3 linked regions of the Cricetulus griseus genome follow. The protein of the gene in region 2 binds, or shares a complex with, the protein of the main gene of each other region. Links are inferred from orthologs where the notes say so. Each region holds a gene or a part of one and is shown on either strand. Other genes may lie near its edges.

Region 1 (5,135 bases), on a different chromosome or scaffold from region 2:
CACTATATACATGAATAAAATCAAAGAAGAAATAAAAATATTAAAAATGCTCTATCTTGGTCCCTTGTTAGGATACTAATTCAAATGGTGAACAAAATGGCATTAAACCAAGGCCTAAAAATGAAACCTGGAGAATGGAAAAGGAGATTAAAGAATCTGGGCAATGTGGGAATGGTTCTTCACGAGTAAGCAGGCTCTTAAGATGGTCCGCCAATGATCTTCACCACTGGACTTCATCGTTTATGTGGAGCTGAAGCAGGCCTGAACCACTATGGAGTGCCTACTGGCAGCAGGCACTATGCTAAAAACCACACAAAGGAATCCTACTTTTGTTTTTCATTTTCATAGCCCTCATGCATACTTTACTTTTCCTTGCAGACAATTATCAATCTTGGAGATAAGGGATGTAGTTTTGGGACTGTGCACACTAAGAATCAAACCTAGGAACTTAGGCAAAACAAGCCACTCTACAACTCAGTTATGCTCTCAGCTCAGAACATGGTTTTTTGTTTGTTTGTTTCTTTTTAATGGACTGTGTTCTCATAACAAATTAGTACTTCAGTACACAATTTTTCAGATCAGCAATAAAATGCATGATTTTAATGGCCTGAGCCATCTGTATAAACTAATATGCTTAGAGTTTTACTATTTGTGCCCTAAACTGATCATTTAATAACACTAACATACACAATAGTTCAAATAATTAAAATGTAAGAGAAAAGACAATTTTCTAGAGTTGTAGAGAGAAAATATTTCGAGCAGGAGAGCAAAGCTCATGAATTAAGAGCTGGCTTCAATCCTGGTACCACCTCTTGGGGCAATGATCCTGGGTGAGTCTTCACCTTCACCATAGTGTTAACAGATTATATGTTAATAGGATTCCTCAAGATCCATGAGAAAATGCTTTAGTGTATCATCCTTAGTGAGGTCCTAACACTAGCTAATGTCACTGTTCTGCTTTAGTGTATTGTCCTTGGTGAGGTCCTAACACCAGCTAACTCCACTGTTCTTCTTGGTTACTGAGCTAACCTTTTTGAATAGTGTAATGATCATCATAATGGAAGATTAAAACACACAAAATGAGGGTAAATTTTATTAACATTAGAGTTATTCTGTAATTTAGTCTGATTAACTATCATTTTATTTAGAGTTCTTACAGACTCCAAGAGGAAAAATCAATCAGACATATATAATCAAAATGAATTGAGAAGTTCATATATAGTAAAACTTTAAAAAATTAAACATTACATTATGTAAGTGAAAAATCCCAACATGTGGAGTTGGGACTTAGAATTTTCTAACACTCAGTGGGCATTCCTGTCAGGTACATAGATAATAGCATCTACCATGCAAGGTGAAACTGCATATACAAAACTGAAAAAAAAAAAAAATCCTTACCTTGAATGCTAGAGTGAAGAACTGAAAACTGTTTAATAAATAAAGAGCACAACAGGGAAGTTTGCGTAGACATGAGCGGACACCATAACTGCTTAAGTTGAGACATGATTCATTTAATGTTTCCAGACAGCATTTCAATGAAACAAACAAGACAAAAGGACTCACCTGTGGGACCACACTCTGTATGTAGGTTGGTGGATGCTGCTGCTTTTGCTGAACAGCACTTTCTATTGCTACTTTAGCTACAGTGCTTGGATCCGCTCCTGCTGGTACAGCAACCATTGTTGCACTGCAGCCAGCATTGTTGGGGTCACTGATTGTAACAATTCTAACTCCTACTTTATTTGGAATTCCTGGGACTGCTTCCCTATCATTATCCTCTGCTGGCCTCTTTACAGTTTTGCATTCAGCTGTGCCATTTGTAGACCGAACATCAGTTGATAGGGCAGAATGGGACACTCTAGATCCTGAGTGGGGAACTGCTAGGATTTGATGCCCCTGTATAACAGGGGTTGTAGAATGTGGTGAAACAACTACACTTGGGCGTTGCTGAGGCACATCTGAATTCAAACTTGAAGCTAGAGGTCCGTTAGACAAGTCAGTACCACTGAATTGTTGTGTTACCACACTTGAAGCTTCCTGCATGCTGCTTGTGGACGGTGACCCACCCAAAGTTAATACAGGTCCATTAGAAACTCTTTCTAGTTCATCACCTTTGGCAGGATCTTGCTGAGTAGCATCTGAAGTCCCTTGTGGTTCTACTGGAGATATCTCACCATTTCCTACATGATTAGAAGTTTTGTGATTTGGAATGTTTTTGCTTAAATGAGAACCATCTCCTTTATCAAAATCACAGATCCCATTAACGAGGGTTTTTTTCAAATCACTTTTGATATCCTGCATGTCCATTTGTTCTGAGTTCTGTTTTCCAGATGCTCCATTCTCACCTAATTCCAAGGATGGCCCATTACTGATTAGTGAGCACTGAATAGTCTCACTTTGAATTTTCCCTGAGTTTGAAGGAGGTAGACTCGAGTCACTGTACTTTCTCCCATTTAAAAGACTTCCCACCTGTATTTCACTTTCACTTGTATCCCCATTGCTGGTGTTTATGGTTCCTCGTCGGCAGGATGGATTCTCCATGACTTCAATTTTCCGTTCATGAACATGTAAACCTGTTGCTTCCTTTGCTTCCTCCTCCTTTTGGCAAATTATCTTGTCGCCTTTGAATGGGGGGGTAGCAGTGGTACATGGTGATTGTCCGGCTGGAAGCGTTTGCACCTGAAGTCCGGCTCCTGCCTGTGCTCCACTCATGCTAATTCCTGCTGGAGCAATGAGCTGAGCTGCATTTCCCTGACTCACAGTCGCAGTTGCAAAACTGGTATTTGGCACAACTGTTATGGTTACCTGGTTGCCAGAAGTCCCTTGGAAAATGGTTGCTGGGCTATTTGAGATCAGTGGACCCGGCAATATTTGTAAGTTCGAAATGGGCACGGTTTGCACTCCCCCTGTTGGTGGCATAGCACTTTGGACCAACTGAACATTTTGCTGTCCAACCAATAGTTGCTGAGCTGGAGTTTGCCCCTGCACTCCAAAACCAGCAGCTTGGTTATTGGCCACCTGATATACCACCTGAGGGCTAGGAGCTCGTGCATTGTTAGGGGGAGGAATCTGTGGTGCTGGGAGGATAAGCTTACCCCCTGGGGTTGAAGGACCCCGCTTTGGAAGCAGCAGCTGTTTGATCAAACTAGACTCATTGGAAGCAGGCTGAGCAACCCCTGCATTTGTTTGCTGAGGCTGAACTTGCATCTGTACTTGCTGTGGCTGTTGAACTTGTACCTGTACCTGCTGTGTGGGAGGTGCTGGTGAATGCTGCTGCTGTTGCTGCCTTTTCACAGATAGCATTTGACTGACAGTAGGAGGTGGTCCCTGCGATTGCATGGTGGAAGAAGATGACATGGCAGTAGGTACTTGGTTATTAGTAGCTGGGACAGGTGATGGTGAAGAAGATGGAGTTATGTTTGGTTGTCCAGTTAGCTGAACTGTCTGACCAGCTGGAAGAGCTGCCGGATTAGCAAGAACAATTTGATGAATGGCTGGTGCGTAAGTTTGACCTTGCTGAGCTGGCTGGCTTACAATCACTACACTTTGCTGGGTTGGCTGCTGTGGTTGTTGAATAGGCTGCTGTACCACTGTTGATGAAACTTGCTGAGAAGGAAGTGGTTTGGGTGCAATGTTCTGGAATCCAACCCTGGAGGGCTGTGGACTTGGAACACCAGCTATGGTGACCACCTGTCCTGTAGCTACCTGGAAATTCTGTACTGAAGTTGCTGACACAATATTGGATGCAGAAGTTGTTACATACTGTGGGGGTGCTATGATAACAGCGTCTTGTGGCTGGCTACCAGCTGCTGTCTGTTGAGATGAAGTGTGCATAGGTTGTGGTGATGTGGTGATTAACTGTTGACCCTGTGAAACTGTAGATGTACATGCTGGTATGTTCTGTACTCTTCCAAATATATGACTCTGTGGTACAGTTTGCTGAATTACTGTAACAGGAGTGCCTGAAGGTATCTGTCCCGGTACCACTGTGTGTAATGGAGATGGTTGTGGCATCACAGATGGATGGTGAAGCAATGTCTGAGAATTCACAACTGTAACAGGTTGTGGCCCTGTACTATGATTCTGAACCACAGAAGTCTGTGCAGGTCCTCCTCCAAGAGCAACACTCACAGGAACTGCTGTCTGGGGCAGAGAATTCTGGATTACTGTTGCTTTAACGACTTCACAAGGAATTGGGGCTTTATTCTGAATGACAGTCACTGGAGCATTTTGTTGCTGGTGGGTATGAACTGAAGGATTTGGTGGAATTCTAGAAACAGTCTGTGCCACAGTATGAACACCTTGTACTGGAAAAGACATTTGTGTTGCAGTCAAATTTGAAGATTGATTGGTAACAGGAGTCCTCTGAAAATGATTTCCTACAGCTTGTGATCCATGAGGGATTCCTATATATATGGGGAAAAATAAAAGTTACAAGTAAAATGACTGTAAGATGTCAAATGTCTTATTATCTAATTTAATACAAGAGGAAGGGTGTAAAGAAATTAATGCCCAAAAGACAGGAAACATTAGAGTATGGTGACACCCATGAGAAACACTGTAAACAGCACAGGGCAAGGCCATCACTTAATATACAAAATACACATTTACATTCTAGCAATCCTTAAAACATTGAAAAACTTGGGGATACTGCCATTTGTCTGTAATCCCAGCTTTCAGAAGGACCCCAAGTTTGAGGCCAGCATGGTTTGTACAGCAAGACCTGACTGCATATATAATAAATGAATATTAAAATTGAAAGTTAATACCTGCAGGTGAAGGTGTTGGAGACACATCAGCAACAGAATCAACGCGGACAACAGGAGTGGAAACTGGCTGTTGCTGATAGTACATCTGGATGGGGAGTGGTATAGCCCTCCGTTTCACTCCTATGACATGAATATGTGCCTGCCCACTGCTATTGGAATCCTCCACTCTCTTCACTGTATGATTTGGAAAAACTGTTCTGTAAAATAACACACACTAATTATGAAAAACAGGACAAAAGTACAGCACTGCCCCCAGCAATGCTCAGAGCATTGCCATTGCTACTAATGCATTGACCAATGAGTCACAATGTCATAGTCTGCAAAAGAGGAAAGATAGATATGTACAAGATTAATTCTCTAATTAAA
Region 2 (5,135 bases):
GAACTCCGCTCTGGTCTTTTGGAAGAGCAGCAAGCACTCTTACCTACTGAGCCATCTCTAGCACCAGACAGAACGTTCAGTCTCAGCAGTTAATATGAAACAAATGAGACTTTGAAGGTCTCTTTTCTTTTGAGGCCAGCTTGGCCTATATAAAACTTTAGAAAAACAAATGACCCAAAACCACTGTAGCTCAGAAGCCCCAGACCTTCCTTTGTAGCCTTTGATGGTCTTCAACGCCTTCCTGCTTCCATTTTTATAGTTGTGGGATTATGAGGATGAGTCACAATAGTGGGCTCAAATACAATTTTTCAGTTTATTTTTAGTTTGTGTGTGACTGTTTTGCCTGCATACATGTCTGTGTACCAAAGTGTGCCATATAAACCAGAAGGATCATTTGGGATCATCTGGAAGTGGAGTTGCCATTGGTTCTGAGCTCCCATGTGTGTGCTGGGAGTCAAACCTAGACACTCTGGAAGAGCAGCCATGCTCTTAAGTACTGAGTCCTCTCCCTCTCCAGCCCTAATACAGGTTTTGCATTTAATTCATTAATTATGCTTTCCTAGTGTCATGAAACTGTCTCCACCATCGGTTTGTCTTTTTCTTCCTTTTTTTTTTGTTTGTTTTTCGAGACAGGGTTTCTCTGTGGCTTTGGAGGCGGTCCTGGAACTAGCTCTTGTAGACCAGGCTGGTCTGGAACTCACAGAGATCCACCTGCCTCTGCCTCCTGAGTGCTGGGATTAAAGGTGTGCACCACCACGGCCCCGCTCCAGTGTATTTTTAAAGTTTTTTCTTGTTTGGGTTTATGGGTGCTTTTCATGCATGCATGCATGTATGTATGTATGTATACCATGTGCATGTCTGGTATCCTCAGGCCAGGAGGCTGGATTTAGACATTTCTGAGCTGTCATGCAGATGCTGATAAGAGCACCTAGTCTTAACTGCTGTAGGCCTGGCTATGGTGACGCACGCCTTTAATCCTAGCACTCCGAAGGCAGAGGCAGGTAGATCTCTGTGAGTTCTAGGATAGCCAATGCTACACAAACCTTGTCTTGAAAAGAGAATAAATTAAGAAAATATGCACATGTGTGGTTTTTATGATTCTTTGCAGTGGAGAATGTGCTTCACACACCTAAAATTTGGTGCAGTGCTGTTACTTAATAGGTAGTGGGAAGTAAGGTAGCTTTCTCCCAGCTGTAGCAGGTTTGAATCCCTGTCTTTTTCTTGCAGTATGTTCATGCAGATGCTCCTACCAATAAAGCACTGGCTGGACTGGTGGTACAGCTTCTTCAGTTCCAAGAAGATGCCTTTGGGAAGCATGTCACCAACCCAGCTTTCACCAAACTACCTGTAAGTACATGAGTACAAGTTACATAGGATCTTTAGCCCCTCTCCTCTCTGTATAATAGCCCTGCCTCTGCCTCCGAGGTTCTGGGATTAAACATGTGCACCATCACTGCCTGGCTCAGCTTCTGTACTTTGAAGTGTCAACCTATGTCTGATTCCCTTGCTGTTGAAATTAGGGTGGGGTGGGGTGGACACAACTGTACAGAGAAGTATTTTGTTTAGTTTGTTTTTGAGACAGGCTGTCACATAGCCTGGGGTTGACCTGGAACTGCCTATGAATTAGAGGCGAGCTGTGAACACCTGATCCATGAGCTGGGATTATAGGCATGTGCTTATCATTCTCAGCTTGGTGGTAGAATTCTTGCCTACTATGTCTTTTAATGCTTTAGACTCTGCACCAATCATGAGGATCTAATATTTCTGTGTTAGGGTTGCCAGAGTTTCTGCTGTGCTGTGCATACTGATACTTATCTGTTAGAATCTTGTGGCAAGAGTACTTTTGTAGGGCTGGAGAGATGGCTCACAGGTTAAGAGCACTGACTGCTCTTCCAGAGGTCCTGGGTTCCTGGGTTCAGTTCCCAGCAACCACATGGTGGCTCACACCATCTGTAATGAGATCTGGTGCCTTCTGGCCTGCAGGGATACATGCAGACAGAACACTGTACATAATAAGTAAGTATTTAGAAGAAAATCTTCCTAGCCACAGAGAAACCCTGTCTTGAAGAGTACTTTTGTATTTGTTTTGGTTTTAATTTATGTGCATTGGCGTGACAGTGTTATATCCCCCTGGAAGTGGAGTCACAGACATTTGTGAGCTGCCAAGGAATTAAACTGGAGTCCTCTGGAAGAGCAGCCGGTGCTCTTAATCTCTCTAGCTCCTTATTGTTTTGCTTTTAATTAAAAAATTTAAATAGCTGGACAGTGGTGGTGCAGGTCTTTAATCAAAGCATTCAGTAGGCAAAGGCAGATCACTGATCTACAGTGCCAGCCTGATCTACAGAGTAAGTTCCAGGACAGCCAAGGCTACATAGAGAAAGAAATCTTGTCTCAAAAAGAAAAATTAATTTATTGACTTAGCGTGTGACTATGTGTGTGTGGGCATGTGCCTGCCATAGCAAGCATGTGAAGGTCAGGACTTCTTTCAGAAGTTGGTTCTTCCACCATGTCGGTCACAGGGACCAAACTCAAGTCATCAGTATTGAGAGCAAGTACCTTGACCTGCCCTGCCACCCTCTCTTTCACACAAAATAAGTGAGTATATGTATAAAAAAAGAAAATAATTACCCAGATGCCTGTCCTCAGCAGTCAGCTACCCGAGGTACTGTAATGGAGAAGCAGAGTAAAAGCACACTTGTGTGGAATTGAAGACCTTTTTTCTTTGTGGTTTTCCAACCTAGGGCTTTGTGCATACTAGGAAAGTTCTGTAACAGTTTTGTTTGACTGACTAAAGGTCAGTGTAGTTTTATACTTTAAAATTATATCAAGGCACAGTGAAGCAGCTGAGCAGATGAAAGGACTTGGCACCATGCTTAACAATCTGAGTTCTGTCTCTGGAACCTACATGGTGGAAGGAAAAACAGACTCCTTCACATTGTCTTCTCATTCATGTACATGTTTGCATTTGTGGCGCTAGCACACCCTACCCACACACAAAATAAAATTATGCAGATATTTTTGTTTTGTTTTTGTTTTTTCAGACAGGGTCTCTCTACATAACTTGACTGTCCTGGAACTCACTATGTAGACCCTAATGTCCTTAAACTCTGAGAGATTAACCTGCCTCTGCCTCCTGACTACTAGTATTAAAGGTGTGCACCGTCACTTTTGGCTAATAAATGGAAATTTAATAAGTTTCTTTTTTTTTTTTTTTTTTTTTTTTTTTTTTTTGAGATAAGGTCTTTGTATATTCCAGCCTGTCCTGGAACTCACTGGGTAGACCAGATTGGCCTTGAACTCAGATCCTACATCTGTCTCTAGTGCTGGATTTAAAATCCTGCTAGTTCTAGGACAGCCTCCAAAGCCACAGAGAAAACCTGTCTTGAAAAACAAAAAAATTCACATTCTTTTGTTATTCCTAATTATGAACGTAAGTGTTATCATCCAAAATGATATTATAAGGGACTTTATACATGGGATATTAACTCCTGGGAACCAAACCATTATTTCCTAAAAGCGTTTAGGGACTGGAGAATATTTTTAGTTATAAATCATAATTAAAAATAATTCATGGCTTAGTGCCAGTAGGACCCAGATGTATTTCTTTTCCTCTGAAAATAGAATGCAGCATTTTCTCAAATGAAAGAGATGGTTGTGAGGTTTGTAAATGAGAAAGACTTACCAAAGCAAATACATTTTTGTTGTAGTTTTGGTTTTTTTTTTTTTTTTTTTCCTTCGAGGTAGTGTTTTTCTGTGAACCATGAGATGGAGGAAGGAAGATTAAAGTTTAAATTCAATCTCAGCTACATTGCTTATTTGAGGTCAGTATGGGCTATGTGAGGCCCTGATTTAAAAAAAAATAAAAGTAGCCAGGTGCTGGAGGTGCACACCTTTTAATCCAGTTACTTGTGGTAGAGATTTCTGAGTTTGAGGCCAGGCGGCCACAGAATGAGTACCAGAACAGCTAGGGCTACACAGAAACCCTGTCTTGAAAAATACACTCAAAAAAAGTAAAAAGTAGTTCTGGGAGTCAGACCTGGTGGTTGAGGCATAGAATTGGGTTATTGAGGAGGCTGGGTAAAAGTTCAGGGTTGCCTGGGCTACAGAGTGAGTTTAAGGTTACCTGAGAACCTGAGTTAAAAAGGAGGCCTGGATGTGTAGTTCACCAGGAAGAGCGTTTATTTTAGCATGTAAGAGTCCCTGAGTTAAGTTTCAAGTATAACATGGTCTTATTGGAACCTTTATTTTTTCTTGTGCTATTTGTCACTTTTAGGCAAAATGTTTTATGGATTTCAAAGCTGGAGGCACCTTGTGTCACATTCTTGGGGCTGCTTACAAGTACAAAAATGAGCAGGGGTGGTAAGTATTAATAAGTGTGACATCATATTTTCTGTATGTAGAGAATTCTGTAAGAATATTGCGGTTAATGGTAAGGTAAGGCCTGTGTTTTAAATCAGTGTTATGTTTTCTGCCAGGTGTGGTGGTGTCTACACTTTTCATCCTAGCACTTGGGGCAGAGCCAGGCAGATCTCTGAGTCTCTAACCTAACCTCATACAAAACAAAGCAATGAGTTTCCTTTGATTTTTTTCTTACACTCAAAAATTACAACTGTTCTTATTAGGTAAATAATATATTTAGTTTTTGTGGTACTGGGAATTGAATCGAGGGCCTTGTTCATGCTACAAATGTGCTCCTTCAGTATATCCCTAACTACACACAGGGATCCACCTGCCTCTGTCTTCCTAATGCTCGGATTAAAGTCCTGTACCACCACTGCCCTGATAAAGGTTATTTATTATGTATACAATGTTCTGCCTGCATGTATGTTGGTTGTGAGCCACTGTGTGGTTGCTTGGGATTGAACTCAGAAGAGCGTCCAGTGCTGCTCCCTGGCTGGTCTCGAACTCACAGAGATCTGCCTGTCTCTGCCTCCCGAGTGCTGGGATTAAAGGCGTTTGCCACTAACGCCTGGTCCCTCCCTGCCTTTGAGCCATCTCTCCCGCCCTGGTGATGGCTTTTAAAGTTTATAGTTTATCATTATTGTAGAAGTTCCTTACTTCTATTTTTGATCTCCCCACTCGCCTTATAAAGATGGACTATAGAATTCTTTTCATGCGCTACTTTTAGGGTAACT
Region 3 (5,135 bases), on a different chromosome or scaffold from region 2:
GAGGGGCAGGAGGACAACGGGGTGGCAGTTGACTGCTGAGCTGGCAGCTCAGGGCAGCAAGGGCTGGGGGAAGGGGAGGCCAGTGCTGACTCCAGCTGGCCTTTCTGTTAAAAAGTGGCAGGTATGGGGGGTGAGCCATAGGCTCTGCTGAGGTCGCAGTTGAAAGAGATGGAGCAAGGGACAGCAGGAGTAGCAAAGTCAAAAGGTCTCGATGGCTGTGGGTGGTGTGAGCCAGTAGCCTATGGCCCTGCATACTCCTGTATCTGTGGGGCTCTTTTTCTATGACAGCAGCCTGGTCACCCGCAGCTCTACTAAAGGGAAAGTCAGCATTTCCACTTGCCAGCATCCAGACTTTCTCCTGGGGGAGCCGCAGATTAGCCTCCTGGATTAAGCTCGGCTGCCTCCCTCCCTCCCTCCCTCGATCTGGAAGCCTGGCTGGGGGAGGACCATGGAGCAAAGCCCTCAGGATACTGCTGAGCTGTCACATCCAGTTCACCACGCAGCCCCGGTGGCATTTAGGGGCAGTGTGGATGGGAGCCCACTCCAAACCCCAAACAGAGAGAGCAGCTAATGACTGGGTATTAATGATGCCAGCAATTAGTGCTCACAGGAAAGTGGCGGGGGCCTGCTCACCAGGGGCACATGGGAGGAAACAGAGCGCACATTCTCGCACATTCGGAGCAGCAAGCAAATCGGTAGTGTGTATGACCCACAGAAGCCAGAGTGAGCAGCTGCCACTGGGTTTGTCCAGAGAAACCGGGGCTGGGGGAAAGTGACTTCTCCAAACACCAGGAGCTTGTCTGCTGTACCCACTTCCCTGTGGGTGAAATTAGGGCTGGGCACAGAGTTTGCAGAAACAAACTTGTGAGAAGACACCACAAAAAAAAAAATAAAATAAAATAAGGAGTGTTTTTGAGGATTCTGGAACTGTCTTTGTCTGAGGAGGACCTGGATTAGCCCACATATGGCTATTCCTTTCTGGTCAGTCAAATGATGCTTGGTGAAGAAGCCTGTATCTATCTCATCAGCAGGGTGAAAAAGAAAGGAAGACAGGGAGGAGCTGGAGTATGTTGCTCACCCACAAGCCCACAGGTGATAGAGACAAGCATGGGACATATCTCCATGTATAAAAAGGAAAGGCACAGTTTCTTTACTAAGCAAGCCCATGTGATCTCTCAGGGACAACACCTAAGGAGAACACAGATACCCACTGATAATTTCACATTTGAGATCCTGGTAAAAAGAGCAAAGAATATAACAGTGCCGGTCACGGAAGTCTACTTGGAGGTGACTACAGGAATGGCTGGGGAGGAGACTGTCTCCTTCTGCTTACTGTTGTTGCCAAGACTTTGCACATGTACACACATATATACACATGTGTGCAAAACCACCACTCACTATGGACACTACAGGGGAGGTGGGGAAAACACAGCACAAAGGAAAAGCCATCAAAGCACTATAAAACAGGATGCTGGTACACAGGAACAAATGGCCAAGCACTGAGGAAATGCAAGAGATAGGCTAGCACTGGAGGAGCGAGAAAGAAAGCTGACACTTTGGAGAGAGAACAAATCACTAATCTGTGCTTTCCAAATAACACCTAAAACCAAAGATCACTTCCAGCCACTTCTTGATAGGAGGCCACAGCTCCTGTGACTTCCTAGACACTTAGACCAGAGAAGAAAAGAGAAAGGGAATTGGCATTGCCAGCTGCCTCAATACAGACAGGCTTCTACACTGACAGAAAAGGCAGGCTCTCCCAAAGGGCAGGCAGAGAGCTGGGTGTCATAGATAATCAGGATCTGGTGCAGAAAGAGTGACACTACCCTCCTCCTCCAGCTCTGCTTCCCAGATTCTGCCCAGATGGCAATAGGAGGTGAGAAAACGGGGGTCTGTCACATTAAAAGCTTGAACCCTCAAAGTTGGAAACAAATTAATGTCACAGGATGCATTTTCCCCAAATCCAAATTCCTATATTGAAGCTTAACCTCTAGTACATTGGCATTTGGTTCTATTCAAGCTAGAGATTGATAAAGAAGTAATCAAAGTGCTGGAGAGACAGACGGCTCAGTGGTTATGGGAGTGCACTGTTCTTGCTCAGTTTTCAGAGCTTACATAGGATGGCTCACAACCACCTGTAAATCCAGCAATGATCTTGTGCCCTCTTCTGGCCTCCACAGGCACTGCACTCATGTACACATACACACGGACACACATACACACGTGATTTAAAGTGAAAATAAATCCTAAGAAGAAGTGGAGGAGAAAAAGTAAATGAAGAGGTAAAGTTTGTTAAGTGAGGCCACTGGAGCTGGGGAGACAGCTCAGCTGGTAAAGTGGTTGTCATGAAAACATAAGGACCTGAGTTTAGATGCCCCCACCCCACCCCCTGGCAACACCCATGCACAAAGATGGAAATAGTTGCATGTGCCTATAATTCCAGAGCTGCTGAGGCAGAGACAAGCGACCTCTGGAGGTCTCCACAGCCAGTCTTGCCAAATCAGTGAATTCCATGTTCAGTGAGAGACGTGGTCTCAAAAACTAAGGTGAAAACCAACTGAGTACATGCAAGTGTGACAGACAGACAGACAGACAGACACACACACACACACACACACACACACACACACACACACACACACACACAATGCAGCTATTAGGGTGGGTCTTGATCCTGTCTGCCTGGTGACCTTATAAGAAGAGACCCCAAGAGAAGAGGGCAGAGCTGCCAGAGGACAGCCATTTGCAAGGCCAGGACAGGGCTATCCGGAAGCCAACACTGATAGAGCCTTGACCTGGGCTTCTCCAGCCTCCAGAGCCATGAGAAACTAGTTGCTGTAGTTTAAGACTCCTGACCTAAGGTATTTTGTTGTGCCAGCCACAGAACACTGTGGCAGCATGACCATGGGGCACAGGCCAGGGAGGACCACACACAAAACTTAACAAAGATCTTAGCCAGGGCTTGTTCTCATGGTTTCAGATATTTGATGAAAGTGTCCACCTGGCATCAGTCACACAAGCTGAGATACTCAACTACACAGGTGTCATCTCTAAATTTAGAATCTGGTCACTTTTAAAAGTCAGATTCTTGTTCGCTTTAAGAATGTATCCCAGGGCTAGAAAATTAGTTCAGTAGTTGAGAGCACTTATCATGCTTCCAGAGGACCCAGGTTCAATTCCCAGCACTCTCATGGGGGCTAACAAACATCTGGCCCTTCAGTCCCAGGGACCCAACACAGCCTTCTGACTTCAGCAGGTTCCACATGCACATGCATGTAGAGAACATACATACATGCAGACAAAAGCTCATATACATGAAATAATACACTAAGTCTAAGTGAAAAAAAGTTTTTAAAAATACATACCAACCAATTGTATAAACAAAACAAAGCCCACAACAAACATGCACAAATACCCCTCCCTCCAGTGGTCTCAGTATGACCCAGATCTTGAAGCAAGCTCAACAGATTCCATGACCACATCCTTTTTGGGGGGCTTTGGTCATCCCAGAAACCACAATGGTTAGGAGAAAGCCAGTCAAGCGGAGAATGCCTAGCCCCCTTTTGATTCCTAAGACATAACTACAAACTGAGGAAAGGGAGGAAGAATAGAAACAAATCTGCAGGATCACTTTGAGTCTTCAGAGCCAACTGTCATCCCAAGTGATGTATCCATCCAGATGGCAAGAGAGCTCCGTACCCAAAGTAGTGACCCACACAGGAAAATCAGAGCAATTAACCAGCAAATATCAGTCACTCCAACAGCTGCGAGTGGCTCTTCTGCAGCCAAGGGACATGATGGACAGGTCTGGCATGTGACAGTGGCCAGGTGAGGACACTCCCCTTTACACCCCACATCCATCTGGAGATAAGGCTGATCACATGTGTTCTGACCTGCTTACACTTTGCTGATTGCTCAGCTCAGACATAGGTATGGTGGCTGGCTAAGTTTAGGAATCAATTTACTGCAGAACACCAAGCCCCATCAGTTGTTACTGCCAGAAGATACCAGAGTGGAAAGAAAAAGGTTGTTCCCCATGCTACCTGCTCCATCCCTGACTCCCCAACATTACAAGTGGGGACTCACGTCTGTGGTTCTCATTTCTGTGGTTGGGCGGGGACCGAGTGTCCTGGTCTTGGGCTTCATCTCCCTCCTCGCTGGCCAGATGAGTGTGAGCATAGTGGTAGCTGAGTCCCGGCCGGTTCTTGTAGCGTTTGCCACAGACTAGAGAGAAAAAGAGAAGAAAAGATGGACAATGTGAGCAACGTTTTGTGGTCACTCTCTCACTCTTTGGGGCAACAGTCCCCAGCTGTCCACACCAGAGCCAGGTTTCCCCTTAAAGGTACCTCCCACCCTCAAACCCACACTACTGTAACCATGTGGCTTGTGTACTCAAAAGAGGTACAAGAGCACAGACATCGAGGGTTGAGTAAGCTCTACTATTCTGCCTGCGAGACCCCGGGCAAGTCAGTGAACTACTGGGTGTCTCCATTGCTTTAGAGATAAAAATGGGAATGATAGCAGTACTAACTCATTAGTGACACACAGCACAGAGTACTTAGGCAAGCACTGTTTGTGTGCTTGTTACGGCTCAAGGTATGCTAGGCAAGCACTTCATCACTGAGCCACACTCCCAGCCTTAACAAGGCACTTCAAATTTACTGAGCACAGAAGGGGGATTATCAGCATAACTTTGCAACTATCACTGGAAGCCTATCCAGTCCAACGTCTTCAGTCACCAATGAGGTAAATGAGGCCCTAAGCGACATACATGGAACACATCAGTGGAAGAGCCGCCAAAACCCAGGTCTCCTGGATTCCTCTGCAGTGCCCCATCTACTGTTCTGCAGCTGACTCTGCATAAAGTAGCAAATTTTCCATGTATCAGCCCATGATTTATACCAGCAAAATGTGCTCTACTCTCACCACAAACACAATGAGACTGAGGAATCCTGGTGGCTATAGTAGCCAAGAGCTTGTGACCTCAATGCTCCAATTAGCCTCTGGCACCCTAGACCTGTCTCAAATAAGACAGCTTGAGACAAGAGGCAACTAGCAACACTAATATGTCATCTTAGAGGCAAGAATATAGGGGGTGACTCCGCACACTGGATGCTCAGGGTATAGAGAGCAAA

Evidence for each region.
Region 1: Smarcc1 (region 2) and Arid2 share a complex: the UniProt entries of both Homo sapiens proteins name them as parts of the SWI/SNF-B (PBAF) chromatin remodeling complex. The link is inferred for Cricetulus griseus from reciprocal best matches to the Homo sapiens genes SMARCC1 and ARID2.
Region 3: Smarcc1 (region 2) and Dpf3 share a complex: the UniProt entries of both Homo sapiens proteins name them as parts of the BAF complex. The link is inferred for Cricetulus griseus from reciprocal best matches to the Homo sapiens genes SMARCC1 and DPF3.

What each region holds. Positions count from the first base shown.
Region 1 is NC_048595.1:392,800,635-392,805,769, reverse strand, and holds part of Arid2 (AT-rich interactive domain-containing protein 2), read right to left. Parts: intron 4,967-5,135; coding exon 4,770-4,966; intron 4,407-4,769; coding exon 1,564-4,406; intron 1-1,563. UniProt on the Homo sapiens protein: Involved in transcriptional activation and repression of select genes by chromatin remodeling (alteration of DNA-nucleosome topology). Required for the stability of the SWI/SNF chromatin remodeling complex SWI/SNF-B (PBAF).
Region 2 is NC_048597.1:217,596,924-217,602,058, forward strand, and holds part of Smarcc1 (SWI/SNF complex subunit SMARCC1), read left to right. Parts: intron 1-1,227; coding exon 1,228-1,347; intron 1,348-4,273; coding exon 4,274-4,359; intron 4,360-5,135. UniProt on the Homo sapiens protein: Involved in transcriptional activation and repression of select genes by chromatin remodeling (alteration of DNA-nucleosome topology).
Region 3 is NC_048598.1:120,431,943-120,437,077, reverse strand, and holds part of Dpf3 (zinc finger protein DPF3), read right to left. Parts: intron 4,225-5,135; coding exon 4,087-4,224; intron 1-4,086. UniProt on the Homo sapiens protein: Belongs to the neuron-specific chromatin remodeling complex (nBAF complex).